7 linked regions of the Mus musculus genome follow. The protein of the gene in region 4 binds, or shares a complex with, the protein of the main gene of each other region. Links are inferred from orthologs where the notes say so. Each region holds a gene or a part of one and is shown on either strand. Other genes may lie near its edges.

The links.
Region 1: the proteins of Vcp (region 4) and Ubxn7 are in contact, whole or in part, in a crystal structure (PDB 5X4L), measured with the Homo sapiens proteins. The link is inferred for Mus musculus from reciprocal best matches to the Homo sapiens genes VCP and UBXN7. Residues at the interface, in NP_009057.1 of Homo sapiens: Val38, Leu51, Phe52, Arg53, Gly54, Asp55, Ile70, Leu72, Pro106, Val108, Tyr110, Leu140, Glu141, Ala142, Tyr143, Pro178; in NP_056377.1 of Homo sapiens: Arg418, Tyr419, Pro420, Asp421, Gly422, Arg424, Leu455, Asn457, Phe458, Arg460, Lys462, Gln480, Glu481, Thr482, Phe484, Val485, Gln486, Asn489.
Region 2: the proteins of Vcp (region 4) and Vcpkmt are in contact, whole or in part, in a crystal structure (PDB 7OAT), measured with the Homo sapiens proteins. The link is inferred for Mus musculus from reciprocal best matches to the Homo sapiens genes VCP and VCPKMT. Residues at the interface, in NP_009057.1 of Homo sapiens: Arg239, Gly280, Glu283, Ser284, Arg287, Lys312, Arg313, Glu314, Lys315, Thr316, His317, Gly318, Glu319, Val320, Glu321, Arg322, Arg323, Ser326, Gln327, Leu329, Thr330, Asp333, Pro355, Ala356, Arg359, Phe360, Arg362; in NP_078834.2 of Homo sapiens: Arg14, Ser15, Phe16, Val17, Arg18, Gln32, Tyr33, Ser34, Ser35, Gly36, Gly37, Val38, Val41, Trp43, Asp44, Ile47, Val48, Leu97, Asp144, Tyr147, Tyr148, Glu174, Arg176, Thr177, Met178, Gly179, Lys180, Asn181, Glu209, Tyr210.
Region 3: the proteins of Vcp (region 4) and Rhbdd1 are in contact, whole or in part, in a crystal structure (PDB 5EPP), measured with the Homo sapiens proteins. The link is inferred for Mus musculus from reciprocal best matches to the Homo sapiens genes VCP and RHBDD1. Residues at the interface, in NP_009057.1 of Homo sapiens: Asn33, Asp35, Val38, Phe52, Arg53, Gly54, Asp55, Thr56, Ile70, Leu72, Tyr110, Pro137, Tyr138, Phe139, Leu140, Glu141, Ala142, Tyr143, Arg144, Pro145, Ile175; in NP_001161080.1 of Homo sapiens: Ser300, Glu303, Met304, Arg305, Gln307, Arg308, Leu309, Arg311, Phe312, Asp313.
Region 5: the proteins of Vcp (region 4) and Ubxn2b are in contact, whole or in part, in a cryo-EM structure (PDB 8B5R), measured with the Homo sapiens proteins. The link is inferred for Mus musculus from reciprocal best matches to the Homo sapiens genes VCP and UBXN2B. Residues at the interface, in NP_009057.1 of Homo sapiens: Arg113, His115, Glu132, Leu140, Ile182, His183, Cys184, Glu185, Glu187; in NP_001071087.1 of Homo sapiens: Phe215, Ser216, Gly217, Glu218, Gln220, Leu222, Gly223, Leu225.
Region 6: the proteins of Vcp (region 4) and Derl1 are in contact, whole or in part, in a cryo-EM structure (PDB 7Y59), measured with the Homo sapiens proteins. The link is inferred for Mus musculus from reciprocal best matches to the Homo sapiens genes VCP and DERL1. Residues at the interface, in NP_009057.1 of Homo sapiens: Arg113, Ile114, His115, Phe131, Leu135, Lys136, Phe139, Leu140, Val166, Glu167, Thr168, Asp169, Val176, Ala177, Pro178, Asp179, Thr180, Val181, Ile182, His183, Cys184, Glu185; in NP_077271.1 of Homo sapiens: His240, Trp242, Gly243, Gln244, Gly245, Phe246, Arg247, Leu248, Gly249, Asp250.
Region 7: the proteins of Vcp (region 4) and Ubxn6 are in contact, whole or in part, in a cryo-EM structure (PDB 8FCO), measured with the Homo sapiens proteins. The link is inferred for Mus musculus from reciprocal best matches to the Homo sapiens genes VCP and UBXN6. Residues at the interface, in NP_009057.1 of Homo sapiens: Pro23, Arg25, Ile27, Gln43, Asp47, Gln50, Leu51, Phe52, Arg53, Gly54, Asp55, Leu58, Lys60, Gly61, Lys62, Arg64, Leu72, Glu80, Lys81, Gly97, Val99, Ile100, Ser101, Gln103, Pro104, Cys105, Pro106, Asp107, Val108, Lys109; in NP_079517.1 of Homo sapiens: Pro279, Ser280, Pro281, Ala283, Ser284, Phe286, Glu287, Leu288, Phe292, Phe293, Asn294, Leu295, Glu299, Ile300, Arg302, Glu303, Gln304, Leu306, Arg307, Ser308, Val311, Leu314, Ser315, Val316, Leu317, Arg318, Thr319, Lys320, Ala321, Met322.

The regions. Positions count from the first base shown.
Region 1 is NC_000082.6:32,330,893-32,335,067, reverse strand, and holds the start of Ubxn7 (UBX domain-containing protein 7), read right to left. Parts: upstream 2,817-4,175; 5' UTR 2,781-2,816; coding exon 2,708-2,780; intron 1-2,707. UniProt on the Homo sapiens protein: Ubiquitin-binding adapter that links a subset of NEDD8-associated cullin ring ligases (CRLs) to the segregase VCP/p97, to regulate turnover of their ubiquitination substrates.
Region 2 is NC_000078.6:69,580,144-69,584,433, forward strand, and holds the start of Vcpkmt (protein-lysine methyltransferase METTL21D), read right to left. Parts: upstream 2,875-4,290; 5' UTR 2,844-2,874; coding exon 2,578-2,843; intron 2,488-2,577; coding exon 2,377-2,487; intron 2,203-2,376; coding exon 2,133-2,202; intron 1,095-2,132; coding exon 975-1,094; intron 1-974. UniProt on the Homo sapiens protein: Protein N-lysine methyltransferase that specifically trimethylates 'Lys-315' of VCP/p97; this modification may decrease VCP ATPase activity.
Region 3 is NC_000067.6:82,337,022-82,340,657, reverse strand, and holds part of Rhbdd1 (rhomboid-related protein 4), read right to left. Parts: intron 1,613-3,636; exon of another isoform or gene 1,362-1,612; intron 340-1,361; 5' UTR 261-339; coding exon 1-260. UniProt on the Homo sapiens protein: Intramembrane-cleaving serine protease that cleaves single transmembrane or multi-pass membrane proteins in the hydrophobic plane of the membrane, luminal loops and juxtamembrane regions.
Region 4 is NC_000070.6:42,983,433-42,987,068, forward strand, and holds part of Vcp (transitional endoplasmic reticulum ATPase), read right to left. Parts: intron 2,848-3,636; coding exon 2,714-2,847; intron 2,636-2,713; coding exon 2,500-2,635; intron 1,835-2,499; coding exon 1,722-1,834; intron 1,264-1,721; coding exon 1,099-1,263; intron 995-1,098; coding exon 872-994; intron 145-871; coding exon 1-144. UniProt on the Homo sapiens protein: Necessary for the fragmentation of Golgi stacks during mitosis and for their reassembly after mitosis. Involved in the formation of the transitional endoplasmic reticulum (tER).
Region 5 is NC_000070.6:6,189,950-6,194,040, forward strand, and holds the start of Ubxn2b (UBX domain-containing protein 2B), read left to right. Parts: upstream 1-1,155; 5' UTR 1,156-1,180; coding exon 1,181-1,264; intron 1,265-4,091. UniProt on the Homo sapiens protein: Adapter protein required for Golgi and endoplasmic reticulum biogenesis. Involved in Golgi and endoplasmic reticulum maintenance during interphase and in their reassembly at the end of mitosis.
Region 6 is NC_000081.6:57,882,340-57,885,975, forward strand, and holds part of Derl1 (derlin-1), read right to left. Parts: intron 1,208-3,636; coding exon 1,096-1,207; intron 1-1,095. UniProt on the Homo sapiens protein: Functional component of endoplasmic reticulum-associated degradation (ERAD) for misfolded lumenal proteins. Forms homotetramers which encircle a large channel traversing the endoplasmic reticulum (ER) membrane.
Region 7 is NC_000083.6:56,072,184-56,076,555, forward strand, and holds the start of Ubxn6 (UBX domain-containing protein 6), read right to left. Parts: upstream 2,844-4,372; 5' UTR 2,736-2,843; coding exon 2,653-2,735; intron 2,384-2,652; exon of another isoform or gene 2,241-2,383; intron 1,054-2,240; coding exon 890-1,053; intron 602-889; coding exon 537-601; intron 347-536; coding exon 218-346; intron 1-217. UniProt on the Homo sapiens protein: May negatively regulate the ATPase activity of VCP, an ATP-driven segregase that associates with different cofactors to control a wide variety of cellular processes.

The sequences.
Region 1 (4,175 bases), on a different chromosome or scaffold from region 4:
TGAACTCATTATACAATGGAGGGCAGCCATGAACAAGTACTGAAATTACAAGTATGTGCCACTGTGGTGCTTAGCATTTTGTCTAAGATCCATCCTACAAGGGCCAGGTATGCTTGACTCACTATAAAAGGGGCTGCTCGCCCCTCTGACCCTCTGCCCTCTTGCCTTCTTGCTCTCCCTCTGTCCTCTGATCTACCTCTTCTCGTTCTCCTTGCCCCCCGCCCCCACCTTCTCCATGTGCTCATGGCTGCCCTCTCTACTACTCTTCTCCTCCTCCTCTCTCTCCCCCTCCCTCTCCCTCTCTCTGTCTCTACTACCCTCTCAACTCCCCTCCCCATGCCCTGAATAAACTCTATTCTATACTATACTGGCTTGTCCCCCAGGGTGAAGGGATGCCTCAACCTGGGTCCACGGAGGCACCCCCTTCCCCACACCTGACGACACCTCCACCAAACATCCCTTATCGTTTTATAAACACAATAGTGTTTGCCTTTCATTTTTTTACCTGCTCTATCTTTTTACCTCTTGAATTATTATGACTATATGTGTAAATTTTGTATATATGTAACTAGACACCACAAAACATCACTCTGAAGGATTTTTTTTCTTCTGTACATTTGCAGAAATCATTACCTACAGGGAACTTCAATCTGATCCAGCAACACAGAGGACTAGGCCAAAAACAAGATGTATAGACTAAACTGGCAAACAAATTAGTATTAAATTTATTTCAAGGCATTTTGGGTCCTGAGTATATATTTTGAAAATGTTGCATAAGAAATAATGTGAGAGCTGGGCATGGTGGCACGCCTTAATCCCAGCACTCGGGAGGCAGAGGCAGGCAGATTTCTGAGTTTGAGGCCAGCCTGGATTTCAAAGTGAGTTCCAGGACAGCCAGGGCTATACAGAGAAACCCTGTCTCAAAAAAACCAAAAAAGAAAAAAGAAAAGAAAAGAAAAAAAAAAAAAAGAAGAAGAAGAAGAAATAATGTGAGATTAAAACAATTGAGTTTCCAATTCACAGATGAAAATAAAGTAATAGTAACTTGCCCAAAAATCCTAAGGTTAAATAGTAAGACCTTAAACTATATTTATAAAATCCAAAGAAAGATTAATATTTCTCTGTGTGACTCACTAGATTTTTTTTTTTTTTTTAGGCAAGCAATGTAGCAGTATTAACTTGTATACACAGAAATCTAGTTTCTTTCCATAATGTTGGTTTGGTAAGGCACTGGGAAATCCACATGTTATTATAAATAAAATAACCCCACCACAAAGCTTAACAACATTTCAGTTATCTTACTTTTCACCTCAATTTTATTACAAATCTTGTTTTACCAGCTTTGACATATTTCATGTGACAAGACAGAAAACAACGCATCAGCCACTTAATTATCGTTGCCGAACAAAAAATAAAACTAGCTTCAATTATAAAACTGCAAATAGCATGTATTGGTTAAAATAAAGATCTTACACGTCAGACTCAAGAACACAAACTAGAAAAAAAGAACACAAACTAGAAATATTCTCCGCATCAAACAAATTATTATCAAAGAAAGGATAGTCCTGTTGAGAGGGGGAACTAACTTTCTGACCTCTTTTCAAAATGACAAACTAGAACAGCAAAATCACACTCAGGCACATGGAGTACTGTTCTCTCAAATCACTCCACAGAGAACTTCATCATTTGCTCCGCCCTCTAATAACTCATGCAAAAAAAGTTCAGCACCATCGGAGAGAAACAAGACATAGCGCATTCACAGAATGGCTTAAAGTCTTTCCTCCCGGCGGGTAAGAGAACCTGCGTTTGCCCTTCGTCGGGGTCCGAAGGGAAAGAGAAACCTAGGCCTAAGGTTTCACGGATACTGACACCTAGAAACAGATTTCTCTGCAAGAAGTTTCTGCCGCCATCCCCATTTTATCAGCAAAGACTCGGGCGCCATCGTCTCGATGTTTGGTTTTATTATGAGGAGGTGGGAAAGGCCACCCAGGATTACTTTAGGCCTCACACACACACTAAGCTCAGGGTTCCCCCCCCCCCTATTCCTATGTGAAACCCTCGGTCCCTAAGGTGCCCCTCCGCACCCCTTGTTCCCGGCGGCAAGTCCCCCGGGATGTGTGAAGGCGCAGCAGAACCCACCCGCCTCACCGTTAAAGCGAGACGGCCCTCACACGGCAGGGCCACCGCCAAGGCTCCGGGGGGGCCCAGCGAGGGGAAGGGTAGGCCGGGGCCGAGGGACAGGGACGATGACCTGGCCGGGAAGAGAGGATGGCATGGGGGGAACGGACTGCACCGCCTGGTCCGCGGGCAGCACGATACCGAGAGGAGGTGATGAGGGAGGAAGAGGGCGGTGGCCCGGGTGCGGCCCCCTACTCCTCCGGCCCGCAGGTCCCGGGCCCCTGGCACCGCGGGCTCGGCCCATCCCCTGTACTGGACCGGCTGGGGGCGTGGGGGGCCTGTCTGGGAATAAGGGGAGACCGAATCCAGGGACTGAGGGGCACGCGCGGGGTGGGGGCGGGGGAAACCTGCCTCCCGCCTGAACCGCAGACCCCGGCCGCCGCCGCCGTCGTCGCCTGTGCCTCAGGAGAGGGCAGGAGCTGAGGGGAGAGCCCGAGTGAGGAATGCACCAAGGTGAGGCGAAGCCCGGGACAGCCCCGACAGCCTCCCCGTAGCCGACTCTTCACCTTCCCGTAACCGCGTCTCTTACCGGTGATGGCGGTGAACTGCTGGATTAACCCCTTCAGCGCCGACGACGCCGCGGAGCCCCCGTGGGCAGCCATCTTACCGCCGCCGCCGCCGCCGCGGAACAACAACACAGACACACACGGGGCTCCCTCCCCCACTCCGCGGCGTGCTGTGCGCAGGCGCACTGGCAGGCCCGAAGCTCCGCCCTCTCCCTGTCTGTGCGCGTTTTGCGCAGGCGTACTCTCCGCGAGCCGCCGCTTTGGTTTGAAGCCTGTGCTGCTGGCTGGTAGCTATTCTTTGAAACATTTGGTGCCTTCTCTGAATTCCGGAGATATCCTCCTAAGTACCGCATTGAATCCCAACATCCCAAAGAATCTTCAGACCTGAAATACCAAACTCTTGATGAAACGCTCAGGGTTTCACATAAAGTAGGTATTTTGTTTGGTTTTATGTGACGTTTCTTAAATTCTAAAGTGTAAGTTAATAGCTTAGTAAAAAATGAACCAGTCTATAGTAGACTTTAGTAAATGATTGTTCGCTCTGTTTTTCTTCAACAAATGTCTCAGTATATCTCCCCCCAGGCTCATTCTTACTTTCTAAAGATATTAAATCGGGAGGTTTTTTGGGGGGGGAGTTGTTTTTTATCCTTAAACAAAGATATATGCAGATACAGTAAATAAAATAAAGAGAACACTGGAAAGTGGTCCTGAAAACACCGATAATAGTTACAACTAAAAAAGAACTTGATGAGCCGGGCAGTGGTGGCACATTCCTTTAATCCCAGCACTTGGGAGACTGAGGCAGGCGGATTTCTGAGTTTGAGGCCAGCTTGGTCTACAGAATGACAAGGACAGCCAGGGCTACACAGAAAAACTCTGTCTCGAAAAAAAAACATGATGAAAGGGGCATTAGGAGGGCTGATGAGATGACTCGGCAGTTGAGAGCACTGACTGCTCTTCCCAAGGTCCTCAGTTCAAATCCCAGCAACTACATGGTGGCTCACAACCATCCGTAATGAGGTCTGATGCCCTTTTCTAGAATGTCTGAAGACAGCTACAGTGTACTTACATTTAAATAAATAAATCTTTAAAAAAACAAAAGAAAGAAAAAAGAAAGGGGCATTTAGCTTAGTTTTCATACTTTATTTTTAAATAAGGTAATAGTGTGTAACTTGCACAATTCTAAATACTTATTGCATTGCTGGTGTGTCAACTTGACACAAGCTAGAGTCGTGAGAGAAAAAGGAGCCTCAGGGGAGGAAAAGCCTCCATGAGATCCAGCTGTATTTTCTCAGTGAGTGACCAGTGAAAGTGGGCCCGCCTATGGGCGGTGCCATGCCTGGACTGGTGGTCCCTGCTTTTATAAGCAAGCAGGCTAGCACACCATGGGAAGCAAACCAGTTAACAGCACCCCTCCATGGCCTCTACCTCAGCTCCTGCCTCCAGGTTCCTGCCCTGTTTTTTCAGTGGTTAACAGCAATGTAGAAGTAT
Region 2 (4,290 bases), on a different chromosome or scaffold from region 4:
CCTGATATATGTGCACTGTACATGTTTTAAGTAAATATGAATTACTTGGATTTTTAAAATTATAATTTCAAAAGTTGAGTAACATTTTCCCATATTAATGAAAAACATGGAATATATTATATTTACTTAATAATTAAGCCTATTTATATATTATAACATATAGCACATATTATCTGAAGGAGTCACATAGTTGTTTTTGTCATTAGACAAAAGTAGTCCTTCCAGCAGACAGAATTTCAGGACTACAGATGCAGCTTCAAAAGGAGCCAGTTTTTCATAGGTTGCATCTGTGCCCATAAAAGGGTATGGGTGCCACTTGAGGGGAGAATTAACATCGTATAAAAGACAGACAAGACAGGCATTCATTTCCAACTTTAAAAACAAACAACAAGGGGGCTGGAGAGATGGCTCAGCGGTTACGAGCACCGACTGCTCTTCCAGAGGTTCTGAGTTCAATTCCCAGCAACCACGTGGTGGCTCACAACCATCCGTAATGGTGTGTCTGAAGAGAGCACTGGTGTACTCATATACATAAAATTTTTAAAAATCTTTAAAACAAACAAACACAAACAACAACAACGCTCAGGAAATCGCTACTTATGTAAAATAAAAATATATAGGAAAATACACAAGTAAGGTCCACCACCTCCATTCTATCATGCAAGCTTTAAATACCCTGCTGAGAAACTCCCAAAGGGTCTCGTGTTTAGCAGCCTTGAAAACTGTCTCAGAAGACAAGCTTGTCATCACTGGCCCCTGGCACCTCGCAGTGCAACAGTAAGGACTGTGAGAACAGCCAGCAAACCTGGCCTAGCAAGGTCAGAGACAGTGGGAGGAGGGCTGTGGAAACGTCTCCCTGGGTTCTAATCAAGAGAATGTTTCCCCCACATCACATTGCCTAAAATACCGCAGCGACCGCATCCAGCTCCCCCAGAGGGTAACTGCTACCAAGACAGACCTATTACGATACTCACCTCAAAATACTTCTTCTCAATTTCTGGATTTTTCCCCATTGTACGTTGTTCGTAACAACATATAATACAAGTTTCAGATCCACTGAGATCTTTTAATGTTTTCAGCAGTGGTTCCAAGGACTATTTAAAAAAAAAATACCATTTTCAGTTTATTACGTCAAGAGTTTCCTGTGATAGGAAAGGGTCAGGAGGTGAGTCAAACCATTCTAAACCAACAAAACAAAGCAAGGTTATCAAACAAGACTGGTAAACAACCCCTGACTACCAATAATTATACTGGTTTCTAGTTAAGTTGTACCATCACATCTTGCTAGACTTAAGTCTTACAAGTCTAATTTCACTTCATCTAAGTTAATGTGGTATTTAAACAATCAACTATTTATTCTACCAAAGCAAGCCTGACCCTAATGGTTTAAATTTAATTTTTGTTATTTTAATTATATGCACGTATTTGCCTGTGTCTAAGTATGTGCTAGTGCCTGCAGGGCCAGAAGAATTGATCTTCCTGGAGCTGGAGTTACAGGTGGCTGTGAACTGCCTGATGTGGGTACTGGGAACTGAACTTGGATCCTCTGGAAGAACTGTGTGTGCTCTTAACTGCTGACCCTTTTGATCATCAGTTGGCTCAAGGCATCAACTTAAAACTAAATACTGTCCAATACTGCATAAACTGATATGGGAAGAAAATCATTCCACAAGTCTAATAAAATGTTGTCACTGAGAATAACTAATTTTGGAGCGTCTCACTCTGTGCTGGCCTAGCATTCATGGCAATTGTGAGTGCTAGGATTCTAGGAGTGAGCCAACCTGCATTTTAATTAATTTCCAAAGTCACAGTTAGCAGTCAATGGGAAAAGAAAAACAAATGAACAAACAGACAAACAAACAGAAGGTATCTTAGTTTTCTAGAATATATGCAAATCGGAAAATCCTTTTAAATTTTTCCAAAAAGTCTCCAGTAGAATGCACGCAAGTTTTCTCAACCACCTCGCACAGGCAGGCCTGTATGCCTATCCTGAATTGTGCGAATGTGTTGCCTTTGATAGTTTAACTTCTCTTTACTGCCTCATCATCTATAGAACAAATATCCCACACCTGGAGGTGTTAAACCACGGAGAGCTGTGGGCTTTCGGACACACCAGTTCGACCACTACTCACCTCCTCATAGTATATACAGTCTGCCATCAATATGTAGTCTGGTGACATCAAGTCTTCTATGTCTTCACCCCTTAAAAATGTCAAACGTATGTCTTTAACTGATGCTCTGACGATTTAAAGTGTTCATTTTAGAAACGAGAAGCAGAAGGCTCCCCTCATATTAAGCAAGCGTTGTGTAAAATGCAATTTAAAGCCCATGTAAGCGATCGATTATCTTAAAAACAAGCTGAAAGGCCATACAAACCATTTCAGTACCTTGGCTTGAACAGAACCAGTCACAAGATGCTTGTTCATATCAATATTCATTTTCAGCAAGTCCTGCAGCTCTTCAAGATCAGTGACTATAACATCTGCCCTAAAAAAACAACCTCGTTGAGGTACAGGCGCAAGGCTGCACGCCGGTGACCTGATGCTGGGCGACCAGCGCCTTCCCGCCAGCTCTTACCCGAGGGTCGCAGCCATGAGCCCCACGGCCCCCGTGCCGGAGCCCAGCTCCAGCACCGAGCGCCGACTCAGCGCGTGGGCCCCGTCGCCAGAAAACCCCGGCGTCTCCAGGTATTTGGAAAGGACGATGGCGGCGTCCCACACAACGCAACCCACGCCCCCGGAGCCGTACTGCTGCAGCCGAAGCACTGTCCCATCCCGCTTCTCCAGAACCCGCACAAAGCTCCACAGCGGGTCCTCCACCTCCGGCTCCACGGCGGCCGCCATCCCTGCCCCGGCCCGCCGCAGGCTGCGGCACGCGGTAACGTCACGCCCACGCAGCACCCGTACCTCCCAGCGGCAGGGCGGCTGCCCAAGGCGCATGCGTGACTCTCAAAGTCCGCAGGAAGCAGCAGAACCTACCCAGGAGTGGCCCAGCTGCTGCTACAATGATAGGCACTTTAAGAAGCAAAGCGACCGACAGTGCTTATACATAGCTGGAGAACGGCTCACACAGAGCCGCTGGCGATAGATCTAGGCAGCTACCCAGGTCCTATCTAAAAATGGTTATATTCAAGAAGTTTTCCTACTGTGCTTCCTTTTCATATGAATGCATAAACGTGGTGGCTGGGAACGTGCTACTTGCTTTTAATGGTAAAGAAAAGTTAGTCCTTTTACATCCCACGGGGCCAAAAGATGGCCAGCAAGACCAAGGACTCACATAGTAGAAGGAGAGACCTGCAGGTTGGCCTGTCACATTGGATCTCTAGTATGAACACACACACACACACACACACACACACACACACACACACACGTAATAAACAGATGATAGCTATTCGTTCTTCTAGATTTTTTTCAGCTTTGTTGTTTTTTGTTTTTTTGTTTTCAGGATGGCCTCCTGTATCCCAAGTAGGTTCAAACTCTTCATACTCTTCACGTAGTCGAGTCGCCTTTAAGTCCAGATGCTTCCGTCTAACCTCCCAAGTTCTGCGATTACAGGTGCTCACCACTATTCCCAGCTTCTCCTTGCTCTTTGTGATGAAAAACAATATTGCAAATCTTTTACAAATTAAGACTGAGGTGATTTATTAATCTTGTTAAGAACTCTGATACAAAGCACAGTAAAAGGCCACAGACCAGTAGATAAACAACGTGGCTTTTGGCTACTTTACAATGGCTGCTACTGCACTATCAGCATAACATACATACCTTGATCACTTTGAATGATAGTATCCAAATGGCAAAGCTTTATCCTGATTAAAAAATTTAATAAAGCTTTTTAAAGTATTTTCTGTTTAAATATTACTAATCTGGAAAAACTTTTCAAAAATTTCAGTTAACACGAGATTAAAGACAGTTAATAGGTTTGACAATGGCAGTTGGTTCTTATGCCATAAGACACTTTTGTTCCAGACTTACAAATTAGTCAAATAGCAGATTGTATTATAGGCCTCAAGTCACTTACATTTATAGAGGTTATTAGCATTATCTTTAAATATATACAATATAAATAAACTGTACATATATGGCATATTAATTTTGTCTTCCCAAATAATAGGCAAATCATTAGCTAAACAATGATTAGCTAAACACCATACACTGCAAAACAAAAGGCACATCTTAATGAACACATGCCCTTCTTCTATAATCAGGTTATGTAGAACTGTTTATAATTTTAACAAAATAATAAACACAGTGCATTCTATTATTTCATTCTATTTTCCGTTTTTGT
Region 3 (3,636 bases), on a different chromosome or scaffold from region 4:
GACACCATGTTGAAATACAAATGCCAGTCATCTCCGTGGTGCAGGGGAGAGAGCAGTAAACGCTGCCAGTCTTTCTGCTGGTAACACTTTTCCACGCTGATGCAGGAATGGTACAGGGGCTTCCAAGGATTCAGGAAGAACCAGACGTTGACAGCCAAGGTTGCGAGGGTAACAGGCGGAATGTTGTTGATCCCAATTTGGAACACTTGAGAGAGGAGCAGGAGGAGGCCGGTGTTGATCCCTCTCGTTCTCCTCTGCATGACTGCAGGATATCAGGAGCGTGGATAAGGATCTGTGCTAGAGGATTAGGAACCCAGGGAGGTACACGGAGAACTGCACCTGAAACACACAGGGCATGCAAAACTCATCACCTGAGAACAGCCCGACTGCTCAGACCCGCGCTAGAAGATGGGCACAGGCTGGCGTGGCCTCGCATGCCTGAGTCCAACAGGGATATTACTAACTTCTCTTTCCATTTCACATTCTAAAATAGAAATTTTATCCCAGATTCAAGTGAACTTAAGGACAGGTATGCTTTCCTTGACCATAATAGTCATGAACTTGTAATGCGTCTTTCTCAGTAAAAGAAACTAATTTAAAAAAGGGGGGGGGGGTCAGCCTGGTAAGCTAAGGACCCACAAAGGTGGGGGGACCCAACTCCACAAAGTTGTCGTCTGACCTTTACAGATGCACCGTGACATGCATATCCACAATCTACACATTATACATACACAGTAACAACAATAGTAATAATAATGGGAAAAAACAAGACAAGGGAGAAGGCTCAGGGTGTAAAGCTTGCTGTGTAAACATGAAAAGCTAAATCCAATTATCCAAAATATATACAGAGCGGGCATGGCTGCCTGCATCTGTGAACCAGGGCTCCCGTGATGAGGGCAGGGACAGAGACAGCAGAGTCCCAACTAGCCTGCTGTAGACAGCAGGAAAAACAGTGAGAGACCCTGCCTCAACCAAAGGGACCAACATCTGAGGTTGCCCTCTGACCGTTAATTTACATGCATGGCATGGCACACGTGTGCTAGCACTCACAGATGCTGTCATACACACTCATCATATGCATGTACACATATCATACAACCCTAAACACACATCGTATACACATAAAAAGGATGAAAATGATAAGTCGGACTCTGATAGTAAATTTACAAGGAGAGTAGACAAATATTTTTTTATCAAATCCCTGCCAAGTCTCCTTATCTCTTCTAATATTTTCAGCAGAAACTCTCAAAATGCCAAAAACTAGGTTTTAAGATTTCTGAGCATGTTATGGTCTAATCCAATCTTCATACTAACAGGTGTCCATGCCCCCAAATTCTTAGTCATGGCTTATAAAAACTTACGTATGTGCCAAATCCTACATTGAAAAAAAATGTAGTCCTTGTTTTTTATGCTCACTTGTCACCAGGAAGTAAAACACCCACTGGCTCAGGGTGTTGTAAGCACAGAGAAGGAACGCAAGAGCAGGGATACACAACTGTGCAGAAGGTGGTGACGGGACTACTGTCTGACAGAGTTCATTTGAGTTAGTGACAAGGAAGAGCTCCATGAGGCAGTGGTCCTCCTCTCCACCCTCTCCACTGGGGCTGGCATTGTGACACGCTTGGGATGACAGAGCAGAGGGCAGATAATACAAAAAGCCTAAACCTAGCCCCAAGATGCACTGCAGGCTTCCAGTATGGGCTCGAGTCTGGGCTAGTTTGCACAGGCTCTGGTCCTCTCATGATCCCTGGTCCCAGCCACCGTCAGCTAATCCTCAGACTCAACGAAGTCTAAGGTGACACAGATGTAAACAGGAGTCCCATGGGCCCTTCCTAATTTGAACCAAAGTGAGGGTGGTTCTGGAGTGGTTTGGTAGGCAGCAATTACTAATATAGGGGTTGATTTTGGACAGGGATTGGTTCCTGTTCACAAGAAGCAGGTAGTGAGGAGTTGGGGTGGGGGAGATAGGGACAGTCTAACAGGGCCATAAAAAGGATCAAGTGTTTGAATAAAAGAACCAGAAGGTGGGGGGGGGGGGGGAGTAAGGTACAGATACTGGAAAAGTAGACAAGGGATTTGAAAGATGTTCCAGAAAGTGCTCATTTACTAACATGTATTTTCCTGTGGCAATTTCTCAGCTCCCAACTCCAGGTAGCAGTAACTGAGCATACTAGACAATGCAAAAGCTTTATAGAAAATGATGGAATTATATTTTAATTACAAAACTTAAAAATTTAAAGAACATTAATTTTACAAAGTGTCTTCTTAGGAGTGCTATGAATAGCCCATCACTTAATGCTGCTGGTTCTCAGGATCCTCATACTAAATTGGAATAACTAGTGATATCCCAGGCTTGCTAGAAGTCCTAGGGGCAAAGGAAATGATGGTAAAGTGCTAGTATTCTCATTTCACTATCAGCTATGTTGAAATCAAACCTGCAAAAGACAATTCTCACAAAGCTCAAATATACTCTGGACCCCCAAAATGCACTTCTTCCTGTTTTTTATTCTTTTATATATTAAATAATGGATTTTAGTCATTTTTACCAGCTTACTCCTTCCTCTCCCACTGGCACCTTCCACACAAGTGCCCTTCACTTGTACTTTCATGTTTTCTTCTTGTGAATTTAGAGCTGGGGCGTGGGACAAAGCTATTGAATGGATCAAGGGCCACTTTGTGGCTACACCACTTTAGAAAGAGATACCCCTCCCCCCAATAAGCTTTGACTGCTGATAATCCTTTGCAGAGGGGTGTGGCCTCGTTGGTCCCTCTTTCACCCATGAGGAATGGTTGATCAGTCCAATCAAGCCTTGTGTATATAACCAAGGCTGTAGTGAGTTCATGAGGGCATTGGCTCTCACATCCAGAAGGCATCCTTTCTCTGCACATCTCCCTCCCCACCCTCAGCTTTTACCTTCTTTGCTCTTCCCTTTTCTGAGGCGTTCCCTGAGCCTCTGATGGTGTTGCAGTGGTTTGAGTGGCTCCCATAGGCTCACGTTTGAATACTTAGTCCCAACGTGGTAGAACTGTTTGGTTAGGGTTGGGAGGTGTGGCCTTGCTGGAGGTGTGTCACAGAGGGCTAGCTTTTAGGCTTCAAAGGAATCAAGCCATTTTCAGTATGCTCTCTGCCTTGCTTTTGTGAGCTCTCATCTGTTCCTCCCACACTGGCTTCATTCTGTCATCATGGACTCTAACCCACTGCAACCGTAGACCCAATTTAATGTTTTCTTATGTCAGTTGCCCCAGTCACGGTGTTCTATCACAGCAACAGAGACATAACTAATGCAGGTATTACAGTTGTCCAAGTTGGGGCAGAACATTACCCCGTCACTTACGCTCAGCCCTTTGGACAGTAACTGATTTCTCCATTAACCAATGCCTGCTACAATACACAGCTTGTTTGAAGAAAGTGTGTTGGCTATTTTCATGTCAACTTGCCATAAGGTATAGTCATTTGAGAGAAAAGAGCCGCAAATAAAAAAATGTCTCCATGAGACCTAGCTGTACCCAAGCCTTTAGGACATCTTCCTAATTAGTGATTGATGGCAGAGAACCCAGCTCATTGGGTGTGTCACCCCTACACTGGTGATCCTGGGTTCTATAAGAAAGGAGCTGAGCAAGCCAGGGAAAGCAAGC
Region 4 (3,636 bases):
GATGGAGATGAAGTTGGCCTGGCATTCATTAGCAATGGCTTTAGCCAGTAAGGTTTTCCCACAGCCAGGAGGTCCATAGAAAAGAACGCCTTTGGAGGGAGTCATGCCAAATTTGAGGAATTTGTCTGGATGTTCCACAGGATACTACAAGAAAAGCAAAAATGATTTAAGAGCAACCCTCATATTTTAAATAAAATCGCATTAATCAGAAGCATAGCATTTTTATGGTATGTCTTCTAACATCCAAAATTTTTACATATAGGCTTCCATGCTAGCTAGTCTTTCTTTTTTTGTTTTTTATAGCCCTGGCTGTCCTGGAACTCACTTTGTAGACCAGGCTGACCTCAAACTCAGAAATTCGCCTGCCTCTGCCTCCCAAGTGCTGGGATTAAAGGCCTGCGCCACCACACCCGGCTTTTTTCCCCCCCATGCTAGCTAGTCTTATATCAACTTGACACACAACTTGAGTTATCTGAAAAAAGGAAATCTTGAGAAAATACTTCCATAAAATCTGGCTATAAGGCATTTTCTTAATTAGCTTTTGATCGGGGGAAGGCCCCACCCATTGTGGATGGGCTGTTGGTTCTGGGTTCTTAATAGCACCCCTCCATGGCCTTTGCATCAGCTCCTGCCCTGTTTTGAGTTCCTGTTCCAATTTCCTCCTATGACAAACAGCAATGTGGAACCCTTTCTTCTCTAACATGCTTTTTCGCCATGGTGTTTCATTGCAGAAGTAATAACCTAAGTAAGACAGCTCCTCACTACCTAACAGAGATATACACACAGTTCTTAGTAAATAAGTCTGAGACCTAAAAGGTTGATTATTACATGCTGAGGCAATGGCCCACCATACTAGAACAAATTAGCCTACCTGAACCAACTCCTGAAGCTCACGTTTGACATCCTCCAGGCCTCCAATATCTTCCCAGGTTACTTGTGGCACCTCTACCACAGTTTCCCGAAGTGCTGATGGGTTGCTTTGACTCAAAGCCCACTAAAAAGGGAATTTGAAAAGTGGGGATGAGACTTGGGGGAGTGAAGAACACAACAAAATACACATACATATTCCTAATTTGGGATAATATACATGGTCCTTACCCGGAAGTCATCCATAGTAACTGCCAGGGAATTCATGACCTCAGCATCAATGGTCTCATCTTCTAGGTCAATGAGGTCCATTTTTTTCCGGATGGCCTGCAGAGCAGCCTCTGAACATAGGGCTGCCAAATCAGCACCAACATGACCATGAGTCTCATTGGCTACCTGCAAAGAGAAGATAGATTGACCATCCTCAAGATCCAGCTGCCTTATCCAGAGTCCTGACTCCATCCCATGCTTCGTACATATCTCAGATTCCTATTGTCTTGAAGAGATATACTATAGCAGACCTTTTTACTGTCAGAGGTGTTAAATATTCAAGCCGGATTAGGGAGCTGGAAATAAAGCTGCTCCAACAACTCATACTTACTCTAACACAGCAACAACTAAGAAACATATTCCTGCCCTGAAATCAAAGCAATCTCCATCCAGCTCTAAAAAAAAAAATGAAAAGATTGGATCTTGCTGTGTAGCCCAGCAGGCCTTAAACTCAGGCTCTTCTGCCCACGCTCCCCAAGTTTGTATTTCTGGTATGAAGCCTCTTTCTTAGGCTATGTTTGTAATTTGCAACCTCCTAAAACAGAGCTATCCTAAATTCTGGTCAGCCATTATCACCACTCTACCTGTTCCAAGTCCACATCATCTGCCAGTTTCATGTTCTTGGTATGGATCTGAAGAATCTCCAAACGTCCTGTAGCATCAGGTATTCCAATATCTACCTCTCTGTCAAAGCGACCTATAGGACAATACGGGAATGTAAAATAGGGATAGTTTCTGGTCCACAAAAGTCATTCCAGAACTCTCTTAAGAGTAAGCATTAATGCCTCACAACCTGGAAATCTTTCAGGCTTGGGCAAAACAATATATGTGGTTACTTCTCTGGATCTCAAACCCTTTGGGGTGGAACAACCATTTCAAAGGGGGTCATATATCAAATACCCCACATGACAGATATTTTACATCACGAATCATAATGGTAGTAAAATTACAGCTGTGAGGTAGTAATAACAAAACAAAATGAGGAACTATATTAAAGGGTTATAGCACTAGGAAAGTTGAGGGAGTGCCCTATAGGGAACATAGAATGGAGAAAAAAAAAGACCTTAGGTCCTATCATGGCAGAGAAGTGAAGATTAAGTAACCTAGATGAAAGACAGAGGTGAGATAAGCAAATCAAGCCCAGCAGAACTATAATGTACCAACAAGAAAGAACAGGTTGGGTTGCACAGTGGTGGTATACACCTTTATTCCCAAGCACTCAGGAGGTAGAGGCAGGTGAATCTCTTGATGTTGAGGTCAGCCTGGTGTTTATAGTTTCAGGACAGCCAGGGCTACACAGAGAAACCCTGTCTTGAAAAACCAAAAAAAAAAAAAAAGTTGGAAAGATTTTAAGGTATTTACCAAATCGCCGTAGGGCTGGGTCAATGCTGTTGGGTCTATTGGTTGCTGCCATAACTATCACATGTGCTCTCTGCTTTAGGCCATCCATGAGGGTCAACAACTGAGACACGATGCGACGCTCCACTTCCCCATGAGTCTGTGAAGACAGTATGTCTGGTCAGAAGCTAGGTCAGGACCTTTCAAGTCCTCACCATGCCCTTGGGTAAGTTCGTACTTTCTCTCTTTTGGGTGCAATGGCATCAAGCTCATCGATGAAGATGATAGCAGGAGCATTCTTTTCAGCTTCCTCAAAGGCTTTACGAAGGTTGCTCTCAGACTCACCAGCCAATTTGCTCATGATTTCAGGACCTGAAGAGATACAGAATAGACAATGAGGGGGAGTAAGATGGCTTAATCAGGTCAAGGTACTTGTTTCCAAGCCTGATGACCTACGTTTAATCCTGGACCCAACATAGAAGAAACAAGGAACTAATTCCTCCAAGTTGTCCTCTGACTTTCACATGTGCATGAGTACACAATACAAATTTTTTTAAAGATTTATTTTATTTATGAGTACTCTGTAGCTGTCTTCAGACACACGGGAAGAGGGCGTCGGATCATATTACTGATGGTTATGAGCCACCATGTGGTTGCTGGGACTTGAACTCAGGATCTCTGGAAGAGCAGTCAGTGCTCTTAAACGCTGAGTCATCTCTCCAACTCAAGCACACAATAAATAGAAGTTATTTTTTTAAAACAATGACAAAAATCTGTCCTCCCCCAATCCCTAAAGAAACTTATATTTTTTCCCCTAGCCCAAATACAGGTCCTGAATAAGAATGCAGTAATTTCTGTCTTTAATAGCCTCCCCCCACCCCAAACCCCCATTATCATGTAAGAACTACCAGGCCAGACCAAAGAGAAGACAAGAGACTCCACATGCTTTTGACAGCACAGTTCCAACTGCGGATATGACAAAAATGATTTGGTAAAAGGCCCAATGGAACCCTAATACCTGAGTATCATTCTAAAGACAATGATAGCTCAGCCCATATTCCCCAACTAGTCTCAGATAAAAATAAACCTTTTAGATGGGCATGGTGGCATATGCCTTTAATCCCAGCACTTGGGAGGCAGAAGCAAGTGATATCTGTGAGT
Region 5 (4,091 bases), about 37 Mb from region 4:
TATCAAGACAGCAATGCAAGGTTTGGTAACTTGTACTGCTAGTTTCTAGTTTAATTATCATTTGCCTCGCTCAAGTACATCATTACATACTCAGCAATATGAGTGGAGCACTGTTGAGTTAACTGAACTGGGGAGAGGGACCATTATCCTTTGCCTTCTGAGTCTCAAGCTGAAAATAAAACTGAACTAAATAAATTTTCAGGAGAAAAGGACACACATTTTATTTTTTTTAAAACAATCATGTGATTAGCGTCTTCGTGGGAAACCTGAAAGCCTGTGTGGCTGTATCTACATACCAGGGGCAACCAAGAAAAGTAGCTAAGATGTGGATTTAATTCTAAAAGGTCTGTTGCAGACCTCTCAGTTTCATCTTCTCTACCTCATAAGTTTTTGTTTTTGTTTATTTTTTTTAAGTGCTCGAAACTCAAAGAACAGCCAAGGCAGCAGGCTGTAGGCTCCCACCTAGCATGGTACACACAACAGGCACCAAGAGAGTATTCTCCATTCACATACAGTCCGCGAGTAATAAATACTCTTTGCAAAGTAAAGTGTACTCTGTTACCTGCTTATATCTTTCTTTCCCTTCCTAGCTTATAAATTTCATAAAGGCTTCTTTTTTTTTTCTTGGGAGGCAATTCTTGGAGGTGTAAGTGTCTGGGACTTAAGATGAGAGTTAAGTCAATCCCAGCAGAAAAGAAGATGGCTTAAGAGTCTCCATTCTCATTGCCAAAAGCTTTACCGTGTTTCCTATCCTCAATACGGATCCACTCAGAAGGACTAATTTACCATCCAATCCTGGATAAGGGAAAATGACAGATAAGGGGAAATGAAAGGTGGAGTTGTTCATCTGCTAAGATATTGCATTGTTGAGTTAAATGAACTTGGAAGACAACGCTGCGCTCTAAAGGCAACCTACAGCATCTCCCAGCGAGTCGAATGGTGACTATAGAGAGATCTCAAAAACTGAAAAACTGGCGAGCCCTGCGGACCGGAACCCTACAGCGAGTGCGCACCGGCTGGTGGGGGGAAAAGGAGCCCGGAGGAACACCACGAACCCGGCACGGCTCCGCCCCCTCTCCAAGGCAGTGGGAGTCACGGAGTGGCTCCGCCCCTTCCACAGTCGCTAAGCAACCAACCCCGGAAGTCGCGGTCCGGGGCAGGCGCCGCAAGCGGGTGAAAGATGGCGGAGGGTGGCCGTGCGGAGCCGGAGGAGCAGGAGCGTGGGTCCTCCAGGCCACGGCCCCCAAGTGCGCGGGACTTACAGGTGCGCAGGCATGGAGCGCGGCGGCGGCGGGCGAGAGGGCGTGGGCATGGCGGGCGCGGGCCAGAGCCACTTTGTACCTCACCTGAGCCTGTCTCCGGAGAACTGGAGGGTCTCTCCTGGAGGCGCATTGCGGAGGGGTGCGTGTGGAATCCTGTGCCCTAGCCTCAGGCGGCGGTACAGGGGTTCCCTTCACGCTGGATGCACAAAGCAAATGTCATTTTGCCGAGCCATCTGGGTGCCTCCCAGCTGATGCTGCCTGCATTTGGGGAGTTGCTGTGGCCAGTGATAAATCAGCCATCACTAAAAAAGTAACTTTAAAAATGACGCGTGCTGGTTTGTTCTCCTGGATGCTTTTTCACGTTTGATGATTTATACATTAAAAGCACTTTCTTCTCCAAAAGCCTGCGGTTTTGCAGGGGAGAGCTTAAAACAGTTCAGGCTTTGGTCACAGCTCGCTTGAAAGAGTTCACAAAACAGCTTAACAGAAATAAAACTCAGCAATGTTAGGATGCTGGCATTAGCTAAACACTTGTCCGATGCTAATACTGCTTGTCCATTTTAGCCTTTTTTTTCTATCTCCTCATGAAATCATTGATAAAACTCAAACGATTAAACATATATTAGGGGTTATAGTTCAGAATAAATGAGCCTGGATTCGCAAACCTTGACAGAGCATTTTTATAGCAGGTCTTCATTCTGTAACCAGACGTACTGACCGTTTGCCATTCTAACTTTGTGCTGAAGCTCTGGGAAATGTGGATACAAATAGGACATCAAATCCAGAAGTAGTAGTGGATACTGTTGTGTGCTATCAAATTTTGTGAAAGGTCTCAGATTTGAAACAGGCTTGTAAAGCAGCTTTACAGACCAAGCCAATGCAGAATTCTAATGGTATTAATTGAGCACTGGTTGGTTCCGGTGACCCCGGAGCCAGTTAGCTCGTTATCTTAGAGTAATTGTCACTGTGATGAAACACCATGACCAAAGCAGCTTGGGGAGGAAAGACTCATGCTTCCACTCACAGTTCCTTATCAGACAGGACGTCAGAGCAGGAACATGGAGGCAGGAGCCGATGCAGAGGCTATGAAGGGTGCTACGTACTGGTTTGCTCCCCAAGGTTTCTTCAGCCTGCTTTCTTATAGGACCCTGGGCTCACAGCCCCGGTTTGGCACCACCCATAGTGTGTGTGGCCCTCCACCATCCATCACTAATTAAGAAAATGCTCCAAAGACTTGCCTACAGCCTTATGAAGGCATTTTTTTTTCATCGAGCCCCCCTTTCCCTGATATCTCTGGCTTTGTCAAGTTGACATAAAACTAAACAGCACACTAGTGAGGCAGTGTATTTTCTGTGTCTGGCTTGCTAGTTTTCATAAAGTCACATCTTATTGTCACTTGGAGTTTTCCCAACATGCTCTGGGTCTAGAAGCTGCCTCATTCAGGAATTCTATTTTGTTTTATGAATAATCTAGGTTTAATTGTCCTGAACAGTCTCTATTTTAACCACATATAACCTTTTGGACACCTTCATAACTGTTTGGAGAACTAAGCATAGTTTGAAGCATCACTGAATGCCAAAAAAAAAACAAAAAACAAAAAACAAAAAAACAAAATAAAACAAAGCAAAAAACAAAACAAAACAAAACAAAACAAAACAAAGGCAGTTCAGAAGATGAACTTGGAGAATGCAGAGATCAGCATCAGGTAGGAGATAAAAACCAGTGAATTAATGACCAGCTGAACAGAAATCTATCTCAGCTGCCATTCAGAATAGTCTGTCAGCCTCTACATCAGGAAGGAGGGTTTTAGGAAGAGGGCTATATAGTTATCTCCTGAAGTGTCTCTCTGTTGTGACTTCTGGACTGTTTCTAAGGCTGTTGTGTAGTGTCCTCCAGGCAATTCGTCATAGGGTTTAAAGTTGTTTAAGGTATTTAATTGCATATTTCCCAATGTTCCTCCAGAATAATATCAACAGGATTGCTGCTCTTAATTCCGTGTTTCCATCCAGATTAGCATTTGGGGAGGAGTAAACTTGTCTGAGGCTATCTAGATCACTGGTTCTCAGTGAAATAATGTCCCTGGAAAGGCTTGATAAAGCAGACACTAGCGCTCATACCCATATCTAATAGGTACAGAGTGGGACTTGAGCATTATGTATTTCCCAGATTCCCAGGTGTGGCTAGTCTGTACAGTTAACTTTACTGTGTTTTCTACAATGTAGCATAAGGCTGAGCCTTCTAGTTCTCTCTTGCTGTGTTTCTGCCCTTCACAGTGACTTAGATTCAGGTTACCTTCCAGACTGGAAAGAATATCAGTCCTTGACTTGGGAAGAATTGGAGCAAGAATGTCTCTTACTTAGGAAGCGCTGGTTTTGTCATTATACTTTTATCTGGTACTTGAATTAATCTTCTTTATTTAATTTCAAATAATATAATCTCAGGAGTGCTCAGTCTCTGTGTCTAATAATCTACACTTTAAAGAGTATCTCTAGCTGCATATGTAGCAGAAGATGGCCTACTTGGCCATCATTGGGAAGAGAGGCCCCTTGGTCTAGCAAACTTTATATGCCCCAGTACAGAGGAATGCCAGGGCCAAGAAGTGGGAGTGAGTGGGTAGGGGAGCAGGGCGGGGGTGGGGGGCGTATAGGGGACTTTTGGGATAACATTTGAAATGTAAATGAAGAAAATAATAAAAAATAAAAATAAAGATTTAATAATCATGAGTGGGCCCATGTCATAATCTGTGACTGGTGCCAACTCCTTCTGAAGAACTTGTTCAAGTCTCGGGAAATAATGCTTGGACCACGTTCTTAGTGTTCCTTTTCTACT
Region 6 (3,636 bases), on a different chromosome or scaffold from region 4:
GCCAACTTTGCAAATCACTTACATTTAACAAAAGTGGATCTGTATTTTGACTAGGGTATCAATTTACTGCTTCCTTGTATAAGCAACTCAAGCTAGCATATAAGGTATTGTGGAAATACTTAATTCAACAAGACACTTGTAAAGCACTGGATTGCTTCTCTATTATATCATACAAGATGGTATATTTGGAAAAACTACCGCAGTACAAATCCTGCCTTAAAGCTGTTGTCTACATGTAAACACGTAGCATATGTATACTACATGTGTAGTATATGCATGTGTGCATGTGCAGGTGCCCATGCTGCATGTGTGAAGGTCAGAGGTCACCATCAGAATCTTCCTCTATTGTTCATCACCTTATTTTTTGAGCAAGGCCTCTGACTGAAAATGGACCCCAACAGCTGACTCCTCTAGGTAGAGAGAGCCCCCCAGGATCCTCAGGGGTCTTGGTCTCCAGGCACTGGACTGCAGGCGCACAAGTGCCACACCCAGCTTATCTGCGTGGCTGAAGGGTTCTGGACCGGTCCTCACAAATGCATTTTCTTCACTGTACCATCCTCTCCAGCCCCTGAGAAGGAGACTAAGCTCTGAACTGCCTCGCACTCTGTCTGAAAGACACGTACATTCTAGCCTGGCTTCATTCTAGCAGGACAAAGACAAGAGTAAGTATAAGAACACAACCCAGACAATCAGGAGATGGAAGGACATGCAAAATTTTGATCTGATATTATTTCTTTTTATAACAAATTACAACTCATTCTGTGATTAAAAACTCAATATGGCTGGGCATGGTAGTGCATACCTTTAATCCCAGGACTCAGGAAGTAGAGGCAGGTGGATCTCTGAGTTGGAGGTCAACTGGTTATAGCCAGGGATAGATGAGACTTTGTCTCCAAAAAAAAAAAAACAAACACAAAAACACAAAACAAAAATACTCTACTAGCCTAATACAGTCATGACCCAGTGAGCATGCAAGAACTATCAATACACATTTCTTTATATAATATTAATGGTCCTGAAAATCCAAGGCAACATATTTAGAATGAATCAGTAACTTAGAATGAAACAACACTTTGACAATGACAGGTAACTTACCTGCTTCAAGCCGAGTAGAATACTGATATAAGAAATATAAATTGACCAAATACAGAAATCCAGTCCCTGGGCCCACGGGGAAGTAAAAGGTGGCAGTGAACGGCCTCCATATCTGAAGAGATCAAAACAAACAGCTGTCAGTTCCTCTGACCTGGGATGAACACTTTTCTTATTTAAACCAAACAAAATCACACTATGCAAAGCATTCTTTCAAGGCGAGCTAAAGTGACATCACAGTATGAGGAGACAGCGTAGTTCCCGCTGCCTACACATCATTAGTTCACAGGCCAATGAGATAATGGGGCATCAAAATCATCTGTTAATATTTTTAAACAAGTTAGCAAAAACAATACTATGCAAATATATGGCCTTGCCTAAGACGGGGCTAAAAGATAATCCTCATTAAAAGTAGCATTCTCAAATGCTAGAGGCTAACAGGAATCAAAACAAAGTGCTAACTAGGCATATGGGCTCAAAAGGAAACAACGCAACACACACACACAAACATGAAGAGGGGAAGTCCTAACTCCAATCTCCAAATGTTATTTTCAACAACAACTAACTGCTTTCCTTTGGGGGCAACCCTGTGAACTGAACCCAGGTGGACTAGGCACTCTACCACTGAGATTGGTCCAAACTCTCTTTTCACATTTTGAGAGAGGAGGGACTCACTGCATTGCACAGGAGGCCTTAAACTTATGCAGCACAGATTGTTCTTACATTTTCAATCCTCCTGCCTCAGGATCAAGACTTGCTGGGATTACAAGAGTTGCCTGCTCCAAATGGCCAAGCTTTTGGGTGTTTTTGTTTTTTCAAGAAAGATCACTCTACATAGGCCTGGCTGTCCTGAAGTATGTAGACCAGGCTGGCCCTGAACTCAGAAATCTCCCTGGCTCTGTTTCCCAAATGCTGGAATTTAAGGTACACGACACCACGCCTTGCCTTAGTTTTTAGAGCGTCAAAGGCCAGGCTTTCCTGGAACATTCAGTCGGCCTGCTGGCCTCAGCCTCCTCAGTGCTAGAATTCAAAGGCGTGCGAGCACGCACAGCCCGTTTCTGTGAACGCTCTGCCATTTCCTCCCTCCTCACCATGCTTTAAATCGCAGTTTTATGTCTTCATTCCCTTGACAAAATACTTCTATTTGCTTCACAGACTTTCTTTATGTGGATATGTGGGTAGACAAACTTCATTTAAATTGTTATGATGCCATGATGAATATTCTTGTATATTCTGTACACACACACACACATGCACACAGACACACACACATGGAATAAATGCCTGGGAATCAATCTGTTAGATCAACAGACATATGCACTTATTTTGGTAGATATTGCCAAATGTCTACAGAAATGTTTAATTAATTTATACTTCCTCCTAAAATGTAGACGATTGCTATCTTTCTACACATATTCTCCACAAAGGATATTTACAGCCACTAACCTGAAAACTAATCTTTGTTTGCTTTGAGAAAGCTGAGCATCTTTCTTCATTTTAAAGACACATTTTAAAGGCACATCCACTACCCTGATAGATCTGCATCTCTGTGTGTATTATGGAAATTTTCTTGTTACTTTCTGTTCTGTCATTAGACTCATGCTTTTAGAGTACTTTTGCTGTATTTTATACAGCAATATCTACTTTATAGTATATTTATTCCAAAATACACTGATTTTATAGAACTTTTGCTGTGTATTCAACACAAAAGTTTAACATAGGAAATGCACCCATCACTATCATGCTTGCAAAGTCGCTAAGATTTTTTTTCATGGATAGAAACATGTTCAGTTTTAAAGCCTACTTTTAGATTAGATAATTTACAATGAATGCCTATACTAAGTTATTTTAATTCCTGGTTTAATAAATATATTTTCGTATCTAAGAAAATGTAATGATCGTCCTCTCCTTTCTTTCCAAATCCTTTTCCTGGCTAGTCTTGATACTATTCTAAAGAAAATCAGATCCAACATCTCTCTTTTCTTATCCCTGTGACACTAGCATACTCTTGCCTATCTTTCATGGCTTTCTGCAGTTTTCTCTTTTTCCTGTCATAATCAACCACCAAAGCAAGTAACATTTGAAAATTGAACCTCTTGACCTCGCCAAACACACAAGTCTATCAAAAAACAAAAAAACAATCAAACAAAAAAGTCTCTGCTTTCTCCCCTTTCACCCTTACCACTCACTGGCTTCTATCTCAAAACATTATTAAACAATAAAGTGATGGCCCCTAGACAGTGGAAAACAGAATAATGCTGACCTTTGACTTAAAAGCTATGTGTCTTGTGGCATACTATCATGTGCCAAGCACGAAAAGCACGGCTGGATCAATCAGGGGAAGACTGTCAAAATGAGCAAGAGTTGGCACAAGGAAGGGAAAATACACTCTTGGCACAAAGCCCCCAAGAACTGCAAGAGCACAACAAACAGAAGAGGGCTGCTAACGATGCGGGGCTGCTAGAATGGAAGACGGCAGATACAGAGCTGCCAAGCCCACTCTCCGTGGACAGAAATGAAAGCCTCAGAGCTTAGCCCTGTGTA
Region 7 (4,372 bases), on a different chromosome or scaffold from region 4:
GCTACTCCAGTTGAGCACCATACCTGCCTGCCTGCTGCCAAGCTCTCTGCCATAACAAACTAAACCTCTGAAACTAAGCTATCCCCAATTAAATACTTTCTTTTGTAAGAACTGCCTTGACCATGGTGTCTCTTCACTGTAATAGAATAGTAGAATAGTGACTAAGACACTAGGGTTGATGGGCATGTGTCCAGTAGCTGGAACACGGGTCACTCACCGACAGGATGGCCTGCTTGATGTGGGCATCCCGCTGGTCCCTCCTCAGGGTGACACCTGTGAGCGGACAGATGAAGAACACACCAGGCACTGCCAAATGGGGAGAGATTTCCTCCTTGGGCTCAGGTACCTGAAGACAGAAGACAGGAGGCTCTTATAGCTGGACATATAGGCCCACGCTGTCACTCCTCCTTTCCAAGGGTCTGTCTCCTCCCCACTGCCACAGGTACTGCTCATATGCATGAAGCTCTCCCTCCCCAGGCTTCAGCTGCCTCCATACTGCCCGAGAACACTGGGCAGTCCCCAGCAGATAACCTTACCGAGTTGGTCCCAGGAGCTCCTGGATTGTTGCTGGAGGTGGCTTCGGCCTGAAGTTCCTTCCTCACTGAGAGTAGGAAGGGGTGATATGGACAGAGTAAGGACCCATCCTGAACCCAGAGGCTGAGCCTCTGGGTGCAAAGGTGGGAGTTGGGGGGTGGGGAGGGGGCTGGTCTGAGAGCTAGCAACTCTCCCTCCCAATGTCCAGGAGGTAGAATCTAGTCCCTGCTTCTCCAAGTCTCCATCCAAGCAAGAACTAATGGTGTCTCTGCCACATGGGACTCAGAGCTACCCTCTGGGGACCCTTTCCCATTGGATTCAGTCTGCCCCAGATGCCACCTAGAGCAGAACTCACCCTGGTTCCGGATGGAGTCCTGAGATGTAGGGCCCCGGGCTCGGGGCTGTTTCTGTTCCAGCCGGGCCAGGGCAGCAGCGGCAGCCATCTGTGCCTCATCAGTGGGGCCCTGACGGGGCTGCCGGAGGGCCAGCTGTGGTGACTTTCCTTTGGTGGTCTTCTCCCTGAACAGACATAGGGACCCAATTTTGCAAAACGGTGTATAGAGGAATTTTAATCAAGCAACATGTGGGAGGAATGCAGACATGCAACAAATCTTTAATCTCTCTTGCTGGAATGCAGACAGGTCCATAGTATGTATCTTTAATCCCTAACAATGTAGGTAAGGTTAGTTTGTAGAAGGAAGAAGTCATGTTTGAAAGTGGCATCTAATTGAGTGGCAGACAGTGACGAATCAGAAAAATTTGACAGAATGAGTCAGGGATAGATTACACCCAACTCTGAGAACAGTCAGGAAAGAGAGGACTCAAAAGGCAGCACAGAGAGAGAGAGTTGAAAGCAGTTCAGCCTGCCAGTGCAGTTCAGAGGCAGGTTGCAGCGAGAGAATGAGAAGGAACCAGAAGATTAGAAGAGACTGCCAGACTTAGTTTGAGTCCAAGCAGAGCACTTCAGTGAGAAATTGAGAGAAGCCAAATTGAATTAGTCAGCTTGGTTAATTAGATTGTACAGATGCTAGAAGCTTCCTGGGATAGTTGTTAGAACATGGATAATGCTCTGAGCTCAGCCCAAGCAGTGTGTTGTGTTCACAGAGCATGGTTGCAGCTCTCATCACTTCATCTGAGGAAATAAAAGTGACATTTACTTTTATAGATCACACACAGATCACGGACACTGGACCATCCCCTCCAACTTCTGGCCTGAGGATCCTTTGAACCTCCATGTTCCTCTCATCATTGAAACTGCCCCACTATTTGTAGCTGTACCCTGGTGTGTTTACCTCCCTTCTAGCCCTGGCTTGCAGGCCCCTCCTTCTCCTCACATTCAGCCCCAGTCGCTGGTTGTCATTTTCCTCCACATATACTTCCTGCAGACTACTCCCTGGTAGCCTGTAGCTGTCTCCAATCTCTACTTCACCCCTTCTGAGCAGCTCCAACATGCCTTACCTCCCTCTCCAGAACACAAAGTTCTCCGGAAAGAACTCCAGGAAAGTACTCCTGGAAGACCCGGAGTTGCCAAGGCCCCCACAGAGATCCCATCTTCACCTGTCACCCCAACCACTCAACAACATTCTGGGTCTGGGCCTCTCTGGTTTCCACACTCCTCCAAGATCCTTCTATAATCCTCTCTCACTCCCCAACCCCTCCCAGATTACCACACAACCTACAAAGAAGTCTTAACATCTCTCACAGACCTTCTTCCCACACCTTCTCTTAGGTCCTTCCTACCCACATTTCGCCAAGGCCACACCTTTAGGCGGCTCTTCTCTTAGCTAAATTCTGGGCATTGCCCCGTCCCTTCTCACCACCCAGAACCAAGAGTCTCTAAGCAGTGACCAACGCGCCCTGGCCACGACCGCCCACGCCTACCCTTAGCGCCCCGCCCACCCGTGCTACACCACACAACTGCCCTCCCTTCTGCCCCGCCCACCACTGCTACAACGCCCCGCCCTCATTGTAGGCTCCGCCCCTGCCTTACAATCTTCCACACCCCACCCACCAATCTACTCCTGCTAAGCATAGCCTAGAAAGACCCTGACACCCAACCGCCGGCCCTTTTTGCCCCCTGGCCCTCGCCCTCTCCGTCGCCCAACCAGCGTCACATACCCTGCGGAATCCGTAAGCTTCTGGCCGGGCCCCGCGCTCTTGAACTTGATGTCAGCCTTGATTTCCTGGAAGAACTTCTTCATGGCGGCAGCGGCCCGGCGGCTTGGGCCGCAGGGCGGAGGGCGCAGGGCCCGGGTGGATGAGGAGCAGGCGGCCAACCACCGGAAAGAAAATATCGCGGCGACGGAAGTCCCGCCTGGTTCACGTGACAATCGCCTTGCAGCACCTCGCGCGGGCGGGGCGCCATCTTCCTGTCTGCGGACGCCGTTGCCGGGGCGACAGGCTCGCCTCCCTTAAGACCGCAGCAGCCACCAGGGGAGCTTAAAGAGAGCATCCAAACAGCGAGCAGCCTAGAAGAGTACCCAGAGCTACTGGAACCAGGGTGGATGTCAGGAGTTCAAGGCCAGTCCATACTACAGAGAAAATGAGTATGAATGTACTGTGCATGAGCCTGAAATCTGCTCTGGGAGAGACAAGCTAGAAGGAGCCGACAGAGAGATTGGTACAGGCAAGGTCAAAGCAGAGACCGCAGTTGGTACAGGGCTTGCTCAACATGTGCAAAGCTGAGTTTAATCTCCTCCAACACTTCCATCTCGTGTGGTGTGTACACACAACAAAAAGTTGGATGCTCTGGACTCAGGCTTTTTAGAACACTACTGTTCATGTGAAAAACAGCCATCATCTAGATCAGAATCACTGTGACTGTGCAAGAGACCCCCAAAATCATATACTTCACTGTTAATGGTCACTCATTAGAAAGAAGGGGGGAAGTGGGTCATTGGACACAAACTTGAGATTCCAGGAGCTCTTCTGCACCCCCTGTCTGTGTGCATGTAATTCTACCCTAATGCGCATGGCATTGTGGTCTTTGGATCATGTAACTGAAGTGCCTATGGGCAAGCTTTCGTCTGTGTTGGTGTGAAATTTGTCAGAGATAAAGCAGCTTTGTGGGCTACCCAGGCTGTTAATAATTTTATTAGTTTTGCCAACCATTAGATCCAAAAATGCACAAAGCTGAAGGATGGGACACCCTGGTGATTTCAAGGAAACAAGCCCCATGGCTGGAGGAGAGCAATGGAGGCATTTGATGAGAACTGTGGAAGACAGGTTTCCAAGAGCTACAGTGAAGAGAGGAGTGGAGCACCTTAAAGAAGGCAGCCAGGATGTGGGCTGGAGAGATGGCTCAGCGGATAAGATCTTCTAGAGGTCCTGAGTTCAATTCCCAGCAACCACATGATGACTCCCAATCATCTATAATGGGATGCAGTGCCCTCTTCTGGTTTGTCTGAAGGGAGCAACAGTGTACTCACATACAAATAATTTTTTTTAAGATTTGTTTATTTATTTATTTATTTATTTATTTATTTATTTATTTATTATATGTATGTACACTGTAGCTGTCTTCAGACACTCCAGAAGAGGGCATCAGATTTTTGTTAGGGATGATTGTGAGCCACCATGTGGTTGCTGGGATTTGAACTCAGGACCTTTGGAAGAGCAGTCAGTGCTCTTAACCGTTGAGCCATCTCACCAGCCCCAACAAACCTTTTTGTTGTTGTTGTTGTTGTTTTGAGAGACAGGGTTTCTCTGGATAGCCCTGGCTGTCCTGGAACTCATTTTGTAGACCAGGCTGGCCTCGAACTCAGAAATCCACCTGCCTCTGCCTCCCGAGTGCTGGGATTAAAGGCGTGCGCCACCATGCCCGCCAACAAATAAATCT